Danio rerio: one gene and its partners. The protein of the gene in region 4 interacts with the protein of the main gene of each other region in a pairwise test. Links are inferred from orthologs where the notes say so. Each region holds a gene or a part of one and is shown on either strand. Other genes may lie near its edges.

Region 1 (3,567 bases), on a different chromosome or scaffold from region 4:
GATGACAGTAAATAATATTCAACTAGATATTTTTCAAGCTTAAAGTGACATTTAAAGACTTAACTAGGTTAATTAGGTTAACTAGGCAGGTTAGGGTAATAAGGCTTTCTCCAGAAAACAAAATATTATCAGACATACTGTGAAAATTTCCTTGCTCTGTTAAACATCATTTAGGAAATATATAAAAAAAAAAAAAAAATCAAAGGGGGCTAATAATGTCACTTTAAGCTGTATAGAAGTGTCTTGAAAAAATATATAGTAAAATAATATTTACTGTAATCATGGCAAAGATAAAATAAGTCGGTTATTAGAAATGAGTTATTAAAACTATCATGTTTAGAGATGTGTTGAAAAAATCTTCTCTCCGTTAAACTGAAATTGGGGGAAAAAATAAACAGGGGGGCCAATAATTCTGACTTCAACTGTACCTAATAAATCCACTAAATCTGCAGAATTGTCATGTCATTTTCACAATTTATACATTTCCAAGTGTACTTATCCTGAAATCATCTTTGCAGTCTGATAAACCAACATAAAAGCATCAAACAGAAAGTCGCCAGCAGCAAAACTGCACTACAGGCCCGACTGGCAGAGCTCAAGAAGGAGAGTACAGGAGGTAAAGGCTTGCCTCTTATGTTATAATAAACTATGCAGAGCTCTTCCAAAGAGAGAAAAACGCTAAATTTGCTTCTTCCTCCAGGCGCAGATAAGCAAGAGCAGCAGTGCCGTCAGCTGATGGCAGGACTGGATAAAGTTGTCAGCGATCTGGATAAGCAGGAGAAGGCCATTTACTCTCGTGTGCGCCCTCCACTGGAGCAGACGCGTCCTGTGCAAGACAGCGCTGATAGGCTGCAGGACATCAGGGTACAGATTATGACTGTACTGCATTAGACTTGTCACAAAGCTTGAATATTGATGCACTTTTGTTGGTTTGATTGCTTCTAGTTTTGTAAAGTCACTTTCATGTTTTCATGTAAATTTCATGTGCACGTCACGTTTGCACAATCACAATATAAAGTGTAAAATAAGATAAATTCTGGGTTGTTAGATGCAAATTTACAAATCATTGAAAAAAGCTTGAATCATACTAGATGTTAACTCACAATTGTGTGGGGTTAAAAAGCTGAATTGAAAACATGTGTCAGAGAAGAGATTTCTGAGTTAAGATTTTACCCTTTTTATTGGAATTATAATCATTTTTCTTAGAATGTTTTTTCTCTGACAATGCTGCATTTTTAACTTGGTTTTAAAAAGTTAGCATCACACATTTTGTTGATATGTGAGGAAAAAACATTCACAGTTGCCAGATCTACAATATTTTATGCTGTCACAGAAATGGGCATCAACATATTATTGGGCCGTCATACACAAATGCTAGATATAAATGTGTGAAAGCAAACAAACGTCTGCAATATAAACATAAAAGCATTGCTTCAGATCCTGTATTTCTTACTCTAGTGTTTTCTTCACAGGACATTACTTCTGCTGTCAATAAGATAGAGCCAGAAAAGTCTGCAAAAGTAAAGGAGGCTGAGGCTTTCCTTAAATCCTCCCCGAAATGCGCAAGTGCCCCACAGCTCTACTCCAAGGTGGATGATACTAACAAGAAATACAACAAAGTTGATTTGCTGCTGAAATGTTCAACTGACAAGTGAGCATACCCCCTTTCATTACAGAGTCATGAATGCCACACATGATATATCAGGGTCTAAATCAGCTTATTCCTAAAGCTATCATTATTAAACAGCCTTAAAAACACATATTTAAAGATTTACATTTTTCAATTTGCAAATATAAACCTTTATGTTCCTTTCTATACCGATTTATACACCAAAGCATGAATTGTGTACCAAATCCTGCTTTGTTTTGTAGACTGCAGAACTCCTATCAGCTGGAGAACTCACTGCAGAATGGCAAAACTCTGCTGTCCACTTATGAAAACAAACTGGCAAGAGAAGAGACTGCCCCATCTGACCCCGCTTCAATAGAGAAGACCCAGCGCGAGTTGGCGGTAAGCATTGTAATCAATGATACTTCTTTCTCTTGATCTATTTTTTCCAAACAGATTCATGATGCACTGGTGTTTGCTGTGCTCTTGTCTCTAGGACATCGCGTCTGAGCTGAGAAGCAAAAGATCTATCATCACACAGACTGAGCAGAACCTGAGAGACGCTAAAACCAGCTGCAGTAACATGACCAATAAAGTGCAAGAGCACTGTCCTGATATCGAGAGGCAAGAGGCGGAGGTTCAGAAAATGACCAAACGCTTTGACAACCTGAACCGACAGACAGAAGCAAGGTGAGCTCATTGGTTAATCCGGCCCTGGACACAACTGATATAAGCAAACAGGTTGTTGAAGGTAGGAAGGAGAGTGTCTAAGCATGGTTAGAAGAAACAATGTGAGATGTTGGGCAGTTTATGAACTTGTACCACCCTCCATACTATACTTTCCTGACTCCGATTTAGTAGTTTTATATAAAGTGTATGATGGACAAACGTACACCAGAGTAGATCTGCTGCAAGTCATGGATTTAGCATGTAGTGATATAGATGAGGAACCATGTCAGGGCTGGATATGGCACACAAGAGGCTTCTTCCCCCATAGCTTCAGGACAGACCATATTGGATTACAAAGTGTTCTGGTCTGACTCGGCCCAAAGAAAAGAAACAAATTGATTTATGTTTCCACCTTTGATTTTTGTCCCTTTTAGTACTGTATACAGAAATACAGTGCATTGTAGGCTGTATACTATACAATAAACAAATTGTATGGCCCCGAACATTGAGATTAAAATGTAGTTCTCTTTAAGAACTATGTTTTAAATAATGGGTTTTCTGTATTGTGTTGTATTGTCCTCTGACTACTTGATAGTGTATATCATTTTGATCACTCTGTTTATTAATTGAGAGAAGTGCTTGATTTTGAACACAGGTAAAACTGTTTTGAAGCAAAAGATTCATTTTGCAAGAGAAGGTCAGAGGTTTTGTTAATAGTGCTTGAGGATGAGATTTTGTGTTTAATGGTGTAAGTATATTGAGCAAGGGTTCAGAAATTGTTTTAGAAATCGAGAAAAACTGCCATTACTCACCCTCATGTTGTTTCAAACTCCTGAGATTTTCATTGATCTTCAGAACACAAAATAATCAGAGAGCTCCCTCATCCTTCATAGACAGCAAGGTCTCTGACTCCCGATTCAAAGTTCGGAAAGGTACCAAAAACTTCCTCAAAGCAGTCCTAATGCCTTCAGTGGTTTAAACAGAATATTGTCGAGCTACAAGAATACTTTCTCTCCTCATTGTCAGTATATTATGTGCATTCATGTGCACTCATGTATGGACCCCATGGGTGACTTTCTCTGCTGGAAACAAAACAAGGGAGCATCTGAATACATCAGAGCTCAAGACATGAATGTGCACCTTATACTGACACTGAAGAGAAGAAACTGATGAATAAAGTTGTTGTTTTTTCTTTTATGTGTGCACAAAAGTATTCTCATAGCTTAATAATATTGCAATTGAACCACTGAAGTCTGTTTTGAGGATGTTTGAGGGAAGCTTGCTGTCTA
Region 2 (4,335 bases), on a different chromosome or scaffold from region 4:
GGTCATGCGGGTGTTATTGCGCTGGTTGGCTTCACCGTGAGAGCTGTCGGTCTTCTCATGATCTCCAGAGTCATCCGAATCTGCAGTCCCGTCTGAACTACTGCCCGCAGTTCTCTAAACACAGAGTGGACATTAGCAGTGCTTTATCAGTGTACATGTACAGATCATGAATTAAACAACACTTTAAAATGAGCTAAGCACTGCAGTTGAACAGGGGAAAAGATTATAAACGATTTCGATTGATTACTTGAAGAAATGCAAAGAAACAGCATTACAATTGTTCTACAATGATGTTTAAATGTAAAAAATGATCCATTATTTCATTAAATTTGCACATTTCTAGCACAAAAATATAGTTCAAAAACGATCATTCGTTTTTTTACACTGTTTTTGTAAAAACTGAAAACAGCAAGGGAAAAATGTAATGGTTTATGACTGTTTCTCAACCACGTTCCTGAAGGACCACCAACAATGCATGTTTTGGATGTCTCCTTTGTCTGTCAAACCCATTATAAGTCTCTCAGTCTCTGCTGATGAGCTGATGATTTGAATCAGGTGTGTTTGGTTAAGAAGACATGAAAAATGTGCAGAGCTGGTGGTCTTCCAGGAACGTGGTTGAGAAACACTGGTTTATGGGATTAAGGTAAAGTTGGTTTTAAATTCGCACATTCGTTCAATGACAACTTGTGACTTGGTCCCTATATCGTTTACCATGTTACTTAAACAATATAAGTAATATTTAATTGACTGTTGTACTTAGGCATGGGACGGCATAAGATTTAGATGGTATGAAAACCTTGGATAAATATAGCATGGTTTAACGGTATTGTGATAACTGCTTAGGCTGCTGGGGATACTGTTGTTCTAAAAAGCCTAAAACAAAAGCCAAAAAACTTACATACACCATAGGAACAGTAACATAGACTGACCATATTCTGTACACAACAATGTTCCATATGGATTACCTTTACGTTTTCGTGGCTGTAGCTCTGTCATCGGAACTGTCTGATTGACAGCTGATATGAGCCAATCTATTCGAGTTCTGTTCTAGCGCAGTGGGCCAATAAGAAGAGCTAGAAGGCAGGGCAAGCATTGCAGGCTTTGTTTACTGCAGCAAGTTGACAAGTCACTTGTTTTAAACCATTCCTGAGTGCTGCGTTTGGTGTTTTTAGGTGCAAAGATGCTTAATGCGTGAATGCCTCCTAAATCTGCGCATGTGGTGAATATTTTGTTGTGAAAACTGGTCGAACGTCATCAATTTTATGCATAGATGAAATTTCGGGCACATATGCGACAAAAATGATCGCACTGCGCTTGAAAATAGACAGTGAGGAAGCTAAAGGAGCAAGTGTAACTTAGGAAGGGAGACATTTATGGCCGGTTTTCACGGTCGGAATGGGGTCACTTTAACAAGCTTGCGTTTCTACAGCCAAAAAGGTACCCTTTTAGTGGGAGTGGTGTATGACAAAGTTTCAGATGACATCATTTTTACTAAAGGAAATGTCACAGTAAAGCCATACAGGTCGTTCACAAATATGAGAAGCCCTTCTCACAAAACAGAAGCTTTATACACATAAATACTTCTCTTTAAATGTTTATTACTAACCCTTCTATGAACATGACTTGATTATAACTACAGATCAGTGATAGTGCAAAATAGCCTACTGTAGCGTCTGTAATTATATGTAATAAATAAATAAACACAACATATATGAAAACAAACAGACCTTTACAGTCTCCGATATGTTATCAATTACATAAAAACTACACACAGCATACATTTAGTCCTTATTTGGGTTCAAAAACAACACGAAATATAGCCCAGTCAGACGCAAACCTCTTATATGTGTCTTTAATCTTCAGCAGCACATGTAGCCTCTTGTTAGAAGGTAATTCCGTCATTCCAAATTCATAATAGTCCAATAGGTGATGATACTAGTTAACGTTAAACATGGCAGTTTGTTCATGTTTTAGGTTGCAGATTGGATCATTTGCTGCTGTTTTTTCCAGCTTCTCCTTTGTTAGCAAAAAAATACTTTCCTGAAACTTTATTATTAATGTCTAAATGTGCGATTAATAAAATGAACTTTACCTCAGTATTTATGGGTTTATTTAAGATCAGCTGAAATGGAGATTTATGGCCCTGTAGAGGAGAAACAAAAACATTTTCAGAATAGAATATGTATTGCAACTGAATGTACAAACACACATTTTGATAAAAAGCTTAGAAAATAACACATTAAAAGGGCATAATGGGTGTTTTCTTTACAGTATCATCGTATTCTCGTAGAATTGTATTCTGAATAGCATTAAAAAGCAAAAAAAATCTAAATAGACAGATGGTAAAAGGAAACTTGCAATGTATCTTGCCTTAATGAAATAATAATATTACTTTAAATCTCAAGTGTGTTTTCAACATTAACGTTTGCACATAAAGAAAAAATGCTAACTAGCTTCACTTTTACCTAAAAACGCACCGTTTTCGAAGCCACTTTCTTTGCTTTTCGATTCTTATGCGCTAAAATGTTAACTCAGAACACAATTGAGATAAAAATTGAAACATTTTAATAGAAAACAAACAACATTTGTCTGAACATGTAAACAAACATTGAGCTAGCCGTTAGCGCGCGCTCAGCCGACTGGGCTACTGACCCAGTTCTCGCATTTTCTCTCACCTTCCGCCGCGGCATGTTCCCTCCGATAAATCCAATCGCCGCTTTCTTCACACGTTTGTCAAACGAATTTATTTGTTTTCAGTTATTAGATATAACCCAGCAGCTGCGTGAACACAAGTTTGCCCTTTTCTGTTCTCGCAAATTGTTCACTATCTCGCGACTCGCGCCACACCGGACCGCGGCGGAAGTGACGCAATGACGGAAAACATGGCGGCGCTGAAGCGAGTGAGGGACGTCGTCCATTTAGACCAGTAGGACTCAACAAACATCCATGTTCTGCAAAATAACATTCATTCATTCATTCATTCATTCATTTTCTTTTCGGCTTAGTCCCTTTATTAATCCGGGGCCGCCACAGTGGAATGAACGGCCTGCAAAATAACAAAAAATCTTATTTTATTTGTAAATGACCACATCAAAACAAAATGTATGCTTAGCTGTACCAAATTGTAAACTATTTTTCATTGATCTAAAAACTTTTTGATATTCGTTTCTAAAAACTCTAGAAACTTTTTGTGATTCCCTGAATTTGTTGGCAATCCTATTTAATTTTAATGTTCGAAATTAAGTTTGAATAAAGCATATTTAATGCAATTAAATGTCATATAGCTCGAATGTCCAGATAACCTTTTAGGCAATAACCGTTATCAAAATAAATTAATAAAACAAAATATTTCTTTGGTTAACTAACACCTTCTTCGAAATAAAGATACAGGAGCTGTCGCTGGGGCAGAACCTTTACAAAAAATACATATTAGTACATGAAGGGTCCATAATGGTATGTCAAAGGTACATTTGGGCACTAAAATGCACCCTTGAGGTACCACTATGGACTCTTTGGGTACAAATATGTATCTTTTGAAAAGGTACTGCCCCAGCGACAGCTCCTGTACCGTTATTTCTGAGAGTGTATATGGTTTTTGTAGTAGCCTAAACTGTAGTTATAGAATTGGTTATCAAGTCTAAAAGCATGGTTACTACACCTTTACTTACTATAAAAAAACAGGATTAATTGGCCCATATGGGGATGTAAAGATAAAATGAGATGTTCAACACTAATAAAAATATAAAATGGTTGAGGCTCGAACCAGCAACCTTCTTGCTGTGAGGTGATTGTGCCACCGAGTGCCACCGAGTCACCCTACTTGTGGGTAAATATGTTTTAAATCTGGGCGAGGCAGTGGCGCAGTATAGTGCTGTCACCTCACAGCAAGAAGGTCGCTGGTTCGTACCTCGGCTCAGTTGGCGTTTCTGTGTGGAGTTTGCATGTTCTCCCTGCCTTCATGTGGGTTTCCATTTTCCCCCGGCTCCGGTTTTCCCCCACAGTACAAAGACATGCAGTACAGGTGAATTGGGTAGGCTAAATTGTCCGTAGTGTATGAGTGTGTGTGTGGATGTTTCCCACAGATGGGTTGCGGCTGGAAGGGCATCCGCTGCGTAAATACTTGCTGGATAAGTTGGCGGTTCATTCCGCTGTGGAGACCCTGGATTAATAAAGGGACTAAGCCGACAAGAAAATGAATGAATGAATATATTTTCAATCTATATTTGGCTGTGATATTTGATTTAAACTTCAATTTGTTTTAGGTTATGTTTGACAAACACATATGATGTATGCATGTTCTCTTGTCAATGTTTGTTTAGAACAATAATGTATGAT
Region 3 (3,567 bases), on a different chromosome or scaffold from region 4:
TATATATAAGGCTAGGTGGAATAGTGCTATTTACTTATGTTTTACTTACAGTAAAAGGTATCTTATGAAACTGAAAATAGTCAATCAATCTTTCGCCGGAAGATTTCAGTAAACAACACTTCCATGCATATACCCATTAGTAACAACCAAATCTACATCAGCTTTGCGTGACTAAAACAGCTTTAAAACAGAACATTACCTGTCTAACAGAAATACCAGAGCAATGATGTCATCCTTCCTCCAGCGTGCAAAACTAACTCCAACATTGATTCAGGAATTTAAAGAGTTCTGATTCAGCAGTTGTTTTTACTGCTGTCACATGTGTCCACGCGAACACGCTAATGGCAGATCTGCATGAACAGAGGAGCGCAGTTCTACAAATCTACATTTGCTAACAGACAATTTGGGCTACCTATCAGAATTATGGGAAGTGTCGGCCTGACAATTTTTAACTGGATGAACATTTTTGAGTCTTATGCCTTACCCAGAACATAAAAATACATATTAAAACATTTAGATCATTTACTTTAATAATTTCTGTTGGACTGTGAAGAGACTTTCAACCAGCACAACAAAACATGTTTCTGAAGACAATCACCTACTGCACCTTTAACTGAGTTTCTTCATAAAACAAGTTAAAAATCTGCTACTGGGGTAAGCAAAACAATCTAAAAACAAGTTTATTTTACTTATCCAACTGGCAGATTATTGTGTTTGTTTTAAAGATATTTTAGTGTGTTTTTTCTGAAGAAAAGACAATCATTTTTGCTTCTAGAAAATGCTTCCTTAAGAATTTTTAAATATATGGACTGCAAACAAGATATCCCGCACTACCCTGACTAAAGTCATTACAAGAACTTTCTAGAAATGTACACTAATGTTTAAAGATTTGGAGTTAGTAAGACTTTTTTAAAGAAATAAATACTTATATTTAGCAAGAATGCATTAAATGATCAAAAGAGAATACATTTATGTAAGTTTTCAACTTTGATCATAACAGGTAATGTGTCTTGATCATTTGATACAAAAGTCTGAATTCATGATTTATTCAGTTCAGCTTTGCCATCAAAGTATTACATTACATTTAAAATATATTCAAATATCAAACATAGAAAAATAATATGAATCTGTAATAATATTTCACAATAATTCCGTTTTGACTGTATTTGTGATCAAATAAATGCAGCCTGGGTGAGGATTAGGGACTTCTTTCAGCAATATGCTGTCACCTTTCTTGCGTGCAATGGCCACAGTCTCTGCGGCACTCTTACTCATCACTTTGGTGATGTACACAGGACAGTTGACTCTGTTGCCAATGGTGATGGCCCGGAAAACAGCCTCCGCCTCCAGCTGTGAAACAGAAAACCAGCCGCATCAGGACTGTTCGCATCACTAAAACAATCAGCAAGTTAATCAGCTAAATAGTTCATCACTTTGTTTATTGATCCCACCTCTTCTGGACGGCTCAGTGGGTGACCTTCCGGACCAATGATGCCCATTCCCAAGATTTTGCTTTGTTCCTTGAACACAAACGTTAACACAGTTAAATAAATGGATAAATTGTAAAAATTTACGACAGTATGGTCAATAAACAGATCCTGCAATAAACATGTAATAAATAAATAAATACTCTATTTATATTGTATTATTCATTTATTCATTTTCTTTTAGGCTTAGTCCCTTTATTAATCCGTAGTCGCCCCAGCGGAATGAACCGCCAACTAATCCAGCACATTTTGACACAGCGGATGCCCTTCCAGCCGCAACCCATCTCTAGGATTATATTATATTATATTATATTATATTATATTATATTATATTATATTATATTATATTATACAGATATTTTGAAGAATGTTGATAACAAAACAGTTGATATTCCCAAATGAATTCCAAAGTAGACTCAATGGGGATCATCAACTGTTCATGAAAATATTCTCTTGCTTTCAATAGACAAAAGAAACTCACATATTTTTGGATCAAGTGGACATTTTTGAGTGCACTGACCCTTTAAGAGTCTACCAAAGTAAGTGAATTTTACAGAAATGTGTCAATGCATTCAAGCTACCATTGGGCCATGATGATTATGTAATAGGTAGGTGTGGCTCTGAGGCCCCGCCTTCTTTCACTTGAAAATGTTCAGACAACATGCCATGAGAAAAGTTACCTAATAGAAACTGAAGAGTAATTCTAATTTCAAGCAATGCAGATGTGTTTTAAGGTTTAATACTGTAAAGCTTATAGAAATTAAAATCAATTTAATATATAAAGTGTTACAGTATATAACAATACATTATGTAACAATATGTTATTGGAAAGCAGAGCTCGCACTAACATCCACATCGCTGTAATCAGATGCTTTCTTAACTGCTGATTTCTCACTCTTGTTTTTTTCCCCCTCAGATATTTTTTGTTATTGAGAGGAGAAGGGCAGCACATAATAACATCAAACTTAGTTTTACCCCTAAAAGAAGAACGAAAATAAAATAGAGATTTATTATAGAGCTGTACAATATACAGATTTAACATCAATATTGCAATGTGAGAATCTGCAATAGTCACATCACAAGATCTGAAATGCTGACTTGGAATTATAGTTGACCAGGCACCAAAACGTGATTTGTCACAAAGATTAACCCTAATAGAGTGAAAGATTTTCATCTGGATGTATTTTTATGGGCTATGACGGAGTAAGACTTCAAGCGAATTTAAGCCTAACTTGATTATGACTATTATTAGGGATTTAAGTGAGTAGGTACCTGTGCTATCAGGTCTCCATTCTCTGCATGCACCAGCACTACTGCCCCCAGCTCCTTAAGGAAAGAGAACGCTTCGTACAACTAGAAGAAAAAACAGAGATGCTATTAGTTACTTTATTGTATTTCTGCATATTTTGCTCTAAATATAGAGCCACAGATGGCATTTTTGCAAACGGCAGCATTTACTCACCTGAGAGTCAGGCATTTGGTATAACCCTTTGTAAGCCATGTACACTTGGAAAGAGTTGATTCCTGTCAAAAGAAAAGAACATTAGCTTGCATTTGCCTTCACAACCATTCAAAACGTTCGGTTTCCTGTAAGATATCTGAAAGTTAATTGATTATATAAATACGTCCTTGCTGAATAAAAGACAACACATTTGACTGAAGGTTATTAACAACCATTAACATTTGGCAGGTTTCAACAAGTGGCTGTTAAACATCAGTATAATCAAGTATGTAGTATAAAAAGTACTGAGTATATTCAGCTTTGCAGAACTATTGTGTTGGGATATTGTTTCATCTTTAAATACATATTCACCTTTTTCCTGTACCAGCTGTTCCAGCTCCTCCTTCACTCCTTCATGCCAGTGTGGAATATCGACATGTAGTGAATAATCACAGCAGGACTTCTTATCCGCCGCTTCCTGCCACTTCTCAAAGGCCTCCAATAGACCATCTCCAGGCTGTGGTGTCACATGATCAACTGAAACAGGAAATTATACATTCTGTAATCTATTACTACCATAAATATAGGCCTTTTTTGTTTTGTATGTTTTTTTTTGAAGATAGTATTAATGTTAATGCT
Region 4 (4,349 bases):
CCAGCTGCAACCCATCACTGGGAAACACCCATACACACTCATTCACACTCGTACACTAAGGTCAATTTAGCTTACCCAATTCATATGTACTGCATGTCTTTGAACTTGCACTTGTGGGGCAAACTGGAGCATGCAAAACCCATGCGAACACGGAGAGAACATGCAAACTCCACATAGAAATGCCAACTGGCCCATTCACAGCTCAAACCAGCAACCTTCTTGCTGTCAGGCAATCATGCTACCCACTGCGTAGCACCATGACACCCATCAGTGAATGCTTAGGTATTAAATAGTACTAACATTAAATAAACAAATAAATACATAATTTGACTTGAATAAAATCTTCTTTCAGAAGTTACCTAAATTATTCAATTATTATTCACAAATCTGCTTAATACCTCAATCTATTTACCCCAAAGTTAATTAAAAAATAACTCAACAATATTAATAAGCATAATTAGATGCTGTTTACTGTGGTGCACTGAGGTTTATGACAAATATTAAATCCCTCACTCATCCCACAAATCCCACAATCATTTTGTGTTGTTCTCTCAGGTAGGATGGTCTGCTTTGTCCACCCATCGGTTCAAGCATTGGTATATCTTTGTCTATTAATCTATCCTGGGTTTACTCCCCTCATATCTGCAAACGTACATTTGTGAAAGAAAAAAACTGTCTCTATAGCCTTTAGTCTCAGGAATTTAATTTATTGTACCAGTGGTGATATAAGGGGAAAAAAGGCTTTTAAATAGCAACCCTTGCATGAAATAACCTGCAATCAAAGTTGCAGTTGAAAGAGTTGGTTTCTCTACATACCTTGAAAAAGATTTTGAAACACTGGTCTGTAGATGTTCTGACTGATCTGTAATTTTTTTGCTTGTTTTGATGAATGATGTTATCTGTTTTTTTTTTTTTTTGTTAAGCCGAACTGCTTAATTTTGGCCAGGAGGCTCTTGTAAAAGAGACTTTTAATCTCAATGTGCTTTTTCCTGGTAGAATAGAGGCTATGTTAATATATGATGATGATGATCAATAAGGCCTAAATAATTAATTCATTTTTATTTTTTAAATAATGCTAAACATAAATTGGCTAAACAGACTCAGTAAAAATAACTTTTGCTGCTTGTTTAAACTACTTATTTATAATGAGTTGAAACAAGACAGTTCTTAAGTTTTTTGGGGGGACAACTTGATTGGTTTATGTTCAATTCACTTAAATTTGTACAAAAAAATTATATATATATATATATATATATATATATATATATATATATATATATATATATATATATATATATATATATAACATGTAGGATTTGTGTGGAACCCTGCATTTTGCATATATTTTTTATAAAGAATTGAACAAATCTTCTAACAAAAAATAAACAAATCTTCCAGCTTTTTCCCCATGAAACTCTCTCACTGCAGGTTCTGGAGGGTCTCCTCACCCCTCCGCCCCGGCGGCGTGCCTGCGTCACAGAGCCTCCCGCACCGTTATGTCATTAGCATAGGGAGTGGACTATAAAAACCAGCCGAACCTCCGCAGTATCCCCGTTTGGTCTGGACAGGGTGCGATATTTAGACTTCAACAATAACCCGCAAACTAAAGGATTACCATGGCCAGTCGAACAAGCACATCTTCCTATAAAAGGATGTTCGGCGGGGAGCGTCCCGCGGCGGCGCGGTCCACTTTCTCCAGCCGGCAGTACAGCAGCCCAGTGCGCGTCTCCTCCTCGCGCACGTCCTACAACTACAGCAGCGCGCCTCCATCCGTGTACGCGAGTAAAAGCTTGAGAGTGCGCTCCGGCGCGCCCCTTCCCAGACTCGCCACCGACACTCTGGATTTCGGGCTTGCCGAGGCCATAAACACCGAGTTTAAAGCCAACCGGACCAATGAGAAAGCGGAGATGCAGCACCTCAACGACCGGTTCGCCAGTTACATAGACAAAGTGCGCTTTCTGGAGCAGCAGAACAAGATCCTGATCGCGGAGCTGGAGCAGCTGCGGGGCAAAGGAGCGTCCCGGGTCGGAGATCTGTACGAGGATGAGATGCGGGAGCTGCGGAGACAGGTGGATCAGCTGACCGGGGAAAAGAGCAAAGTGGAGGTGGACCGGGACAACCTAGGGGAGGACATCGAGCGCCTCAAGGAGAGGTCTGTTCTGGCACTATTACTGTCTAAAAACTTAGTGTCAAGTGTTAAATAACTTGCAGGCGCACATAATATGTTTTACGTTTTGTTTTTGTTATTTTATGCTAACTTAATGTGCATTTAAAAGGTTAACAGATGAATGTTTGTCTGTTTTTTTGTAACTTTCACTATGTTTTTATACTTAAACAGCCTATAGGTTAGTCATAACTAAATTAAACTTTACTGATAAATATAAATATTATTATTATTATTATAAATATTTATTATTGTGCTTATTGTTCATTGATCCTTTCTGGATCTCAAAAATTTTAGTGAAAAGTTCTTCAAAAACTATTTTAAAACAATTTCATAGCATTTTGAGAATCTTTTTCCACTGTAAAGAAGCTTTTGGGAAATTAAAAGGTTCCATTGAGGTTAAAAGTTCTTTCTTTCGATAAAAGCATTTTTAGGCAAATACAGTGCTCAACATATATAAGTACACCCCTCACAGATCTGTCTTTTAAATTTATATATTTAATAGTAAGCGATACAATATTATATTTGTGCATATAGGGTACATTTAATCAGTACTGAAGCCAAATCTGGAGCTTATCTAACAAAATAACTTATGATAATTAATGAAAAACTAGTACAGCCAAATTTATGTTATAGAAAAATATTAAATACAAATTTAAAAAAGAGGAAAAATCCAGAAAAGCAAAAAAGGGGAAAATTTTGTTGAAATTTTGTAGGTCGTACTTAGTTTTTGCAATATTTTGCTTTAATTTAATTGTTTTATCCATCAATTTTTAACTATGTTTGGTGACTAAAATAATATTTTAATAAATATATCTGTTTAGTAAATCTGTTTTGTTTAAATGCACCAAAATACATCGCCTATACATTCGTAATGCTTAAATTGACATTTGTTAGTATAATCTAACAATGCATTATAAAATGCTTTGTAAAACGTATGACTCGTTTAGAAATACTTCATTTTAAATGTATAGGCAATCTTTTATGTTTGCTATAAAATAAAAAAGTGTTAAGCATAGGCTAGCAATTGTGCAATAGTGTAATCATTATGACAGTATTTCATTAAAATAAAAAATATATATAATAAATATATAATTTAATTTATATAATATATAAAAATGACTTGTTTAATACAGAGATTTAACAATTCTTAAGACATTTCATTAAAATATGATCAGATATACAGTTCATAATGATAAAATCAAATATTTTAAAACAGGAACCATTTTACATAGCATAAATGCTAATATTAAATCATGTTAATGGCTTGAATTTAAAAAAAGCTGACATTTTTAAACAGTGTTCAGTGTCAAATAATAGCATGTTGAATTTCTATTGGCGCAAATCTCTGTTATAAACTTTTTTTTAACATTATCAAGGAAAAAAAACAACATAATTTCTTCATGTTTTGATACAGTAAATTAAAATAAACTGATTACTGATTTCTATCCACTGTGTGATGCTCCACGAGGCTGTTTTTATAGTAAAGGGTGTGGCTCTGCTTAAATATGCATCTCATTTCCAGACTTCAAGAAGAGATGCTTCAAAGAGAAGATGCTGAGAACAGCCTCCGCAGCTTCAGACAGGTACATCCGCTCACATTCACAGTAAAGAAATCACCACAAACAACTATTTGCGCATGCATGGTTGTCATTCTTGAACCTGACGTTTGATCGAGTGCAAACAAAGCCACTATTACGCTGCGATCAGTTAACAGTCGGTCCAGTCAGTGTGTGCAAGACAAGTCTTATTGTGAGCAGTCTGTGCACAATCAAAGGGTCAGCGCAGGCCTGGTCAAGCTGCCCTCTCGGCCAGCATCAGATTTAGACACACACCGCTGAAAACAAAGCTTTGTCTGAGAGCCGGCTGGCTGTTCATGACAAAGCAAACTGTTGTGCGGATGGGAGGAGACGGCGTTAACTAGGGGACATTGGTGACTTATGGAGGACGCAGAGAAGAGGATGTGTGTGTGTCTGTGTATATGCATGTGTTTTAAAGAGTATCTGCCACCCACAGCTGCAGCTGAACAAATTACTGGCAGCGGGCGAGCTATTGTTATTCATTGGTTAAGTTGAATTTACATACAGTCGAAGATGACATTGTTAGCCCTCCAATTCTTTCGCAAAACTTACTTCCAATACTTATCAGAGCAAAGACAATTTCACAGTATTACTATTTCCTATTA

The links.
Region 1: the proteins of vim (region 4) and ppl interact in binary tests that used the Homo sapiens proteins (3 or more experiments, as listed by UniProt). The link is inferred for Danio rerio from reciprocal best matches to the Homo sapiens genes VIM and PPL.
Region 2: the proteins of vim (region 4) and kat7b interact in binary tests that used the Homo sapiens proteins (3 or more experiments, as listed by UniProt). The link is inferred for Danio rerio from reciprocal best matches to the Homo sapiens genes VIM and KAT7.
Region 3: the proteins of vim (region 4) and crmp1 interact in binary tests that used the Homo sapiens proteins (3 or more experiments, as listed by UniProt). The link is inferred for Danio rerio from reciprocal best matches to the Homo sapiens genes VIM and CRMP1.

The regions. Positions count from the first base shown.
Region 1 is NC_133178.1:35,315,542-35,319,108, reverse strand, and holds part of ppl (periplakin), read left to right. Parts: intron 1-518; coding exon 519-616; intron 617-700; coding exon of another isoform or gene 701-706; coding exon 707-864; intron 865-1,472; coding exon 1,473-1,651; intron 1,652-1,872; coding exon 1,873-2,011; intron 2,012-2,105; coding exon 2,106-2,299; intron 2,300-3,567. UniProt on the Homo sapiens protein: Component of the cornified envelope of keratinocytes. May link the cornified envelope to desmosomes and intermediate filaments. May act as a localization signal in PKB/AKT-mediated signaling.
Region 2 is NC_133187.1:6,548,194-6,552,528, forward strand, and holds the start of kat7b (histone acetyltransferase KAT7), read right to left. Parts: upstream 2,820-4,335; 5' UTR 2,691-2,819; coding exon 2,676-2,690; intron 2,144-2,675; coding exon 2,093-2,143; intron 115-2,092; coding exon 1-114. UniProt on the Homo sapiens protein: Catalytic subunit of histone acetyltransferase HBO1 complexes, which specifically mediate acetylation of histone H3 at 'Lys-14' (H3K14ac), thereby regulating various processes, such as gene transcription, protein ubiquitination, immune regulation, stem cell pluripotent and self-renewal maintenance and embryonic development.
Region 3 is NC_133176.1:15,736,911-15,740,477, reverse strand, and holds part of crmp1 (dihydropyrimidinase-related protein 1), read right to left. Parts: intron 3,466-3,567; coding exon 3,301-3,465; intron 3,012-3,300; coding exon 2,950-3,011; intron 2,841-2,949; coding exon 2,760-2,840; intron 1,521-2,759; coding exon 1,452-1,520; intron 1,351-1,451; coding exon 1,230-1,350; intron 1-1,229.
Region 4 is NC_133199.1:36,348,379-36,352,727, forward strand, and holds the start of vim (vimentin), read left to right. Parts: upstream 1-1,549; 5' UTR 1,550-1,616; coding exon 1,617-2,152; intron 2,153-3,689; coding exon 3,690-3,750; intron 3,751-4,349. UniProt on the Homo sapiens protein: Vimentins are class-III intermediate filaments found in various non-epithelial cells, especially mesenchymal cells. Vimentin is attached to the nucleus, endoplasmic reticulum, and mitochondria, either laterally or terminally.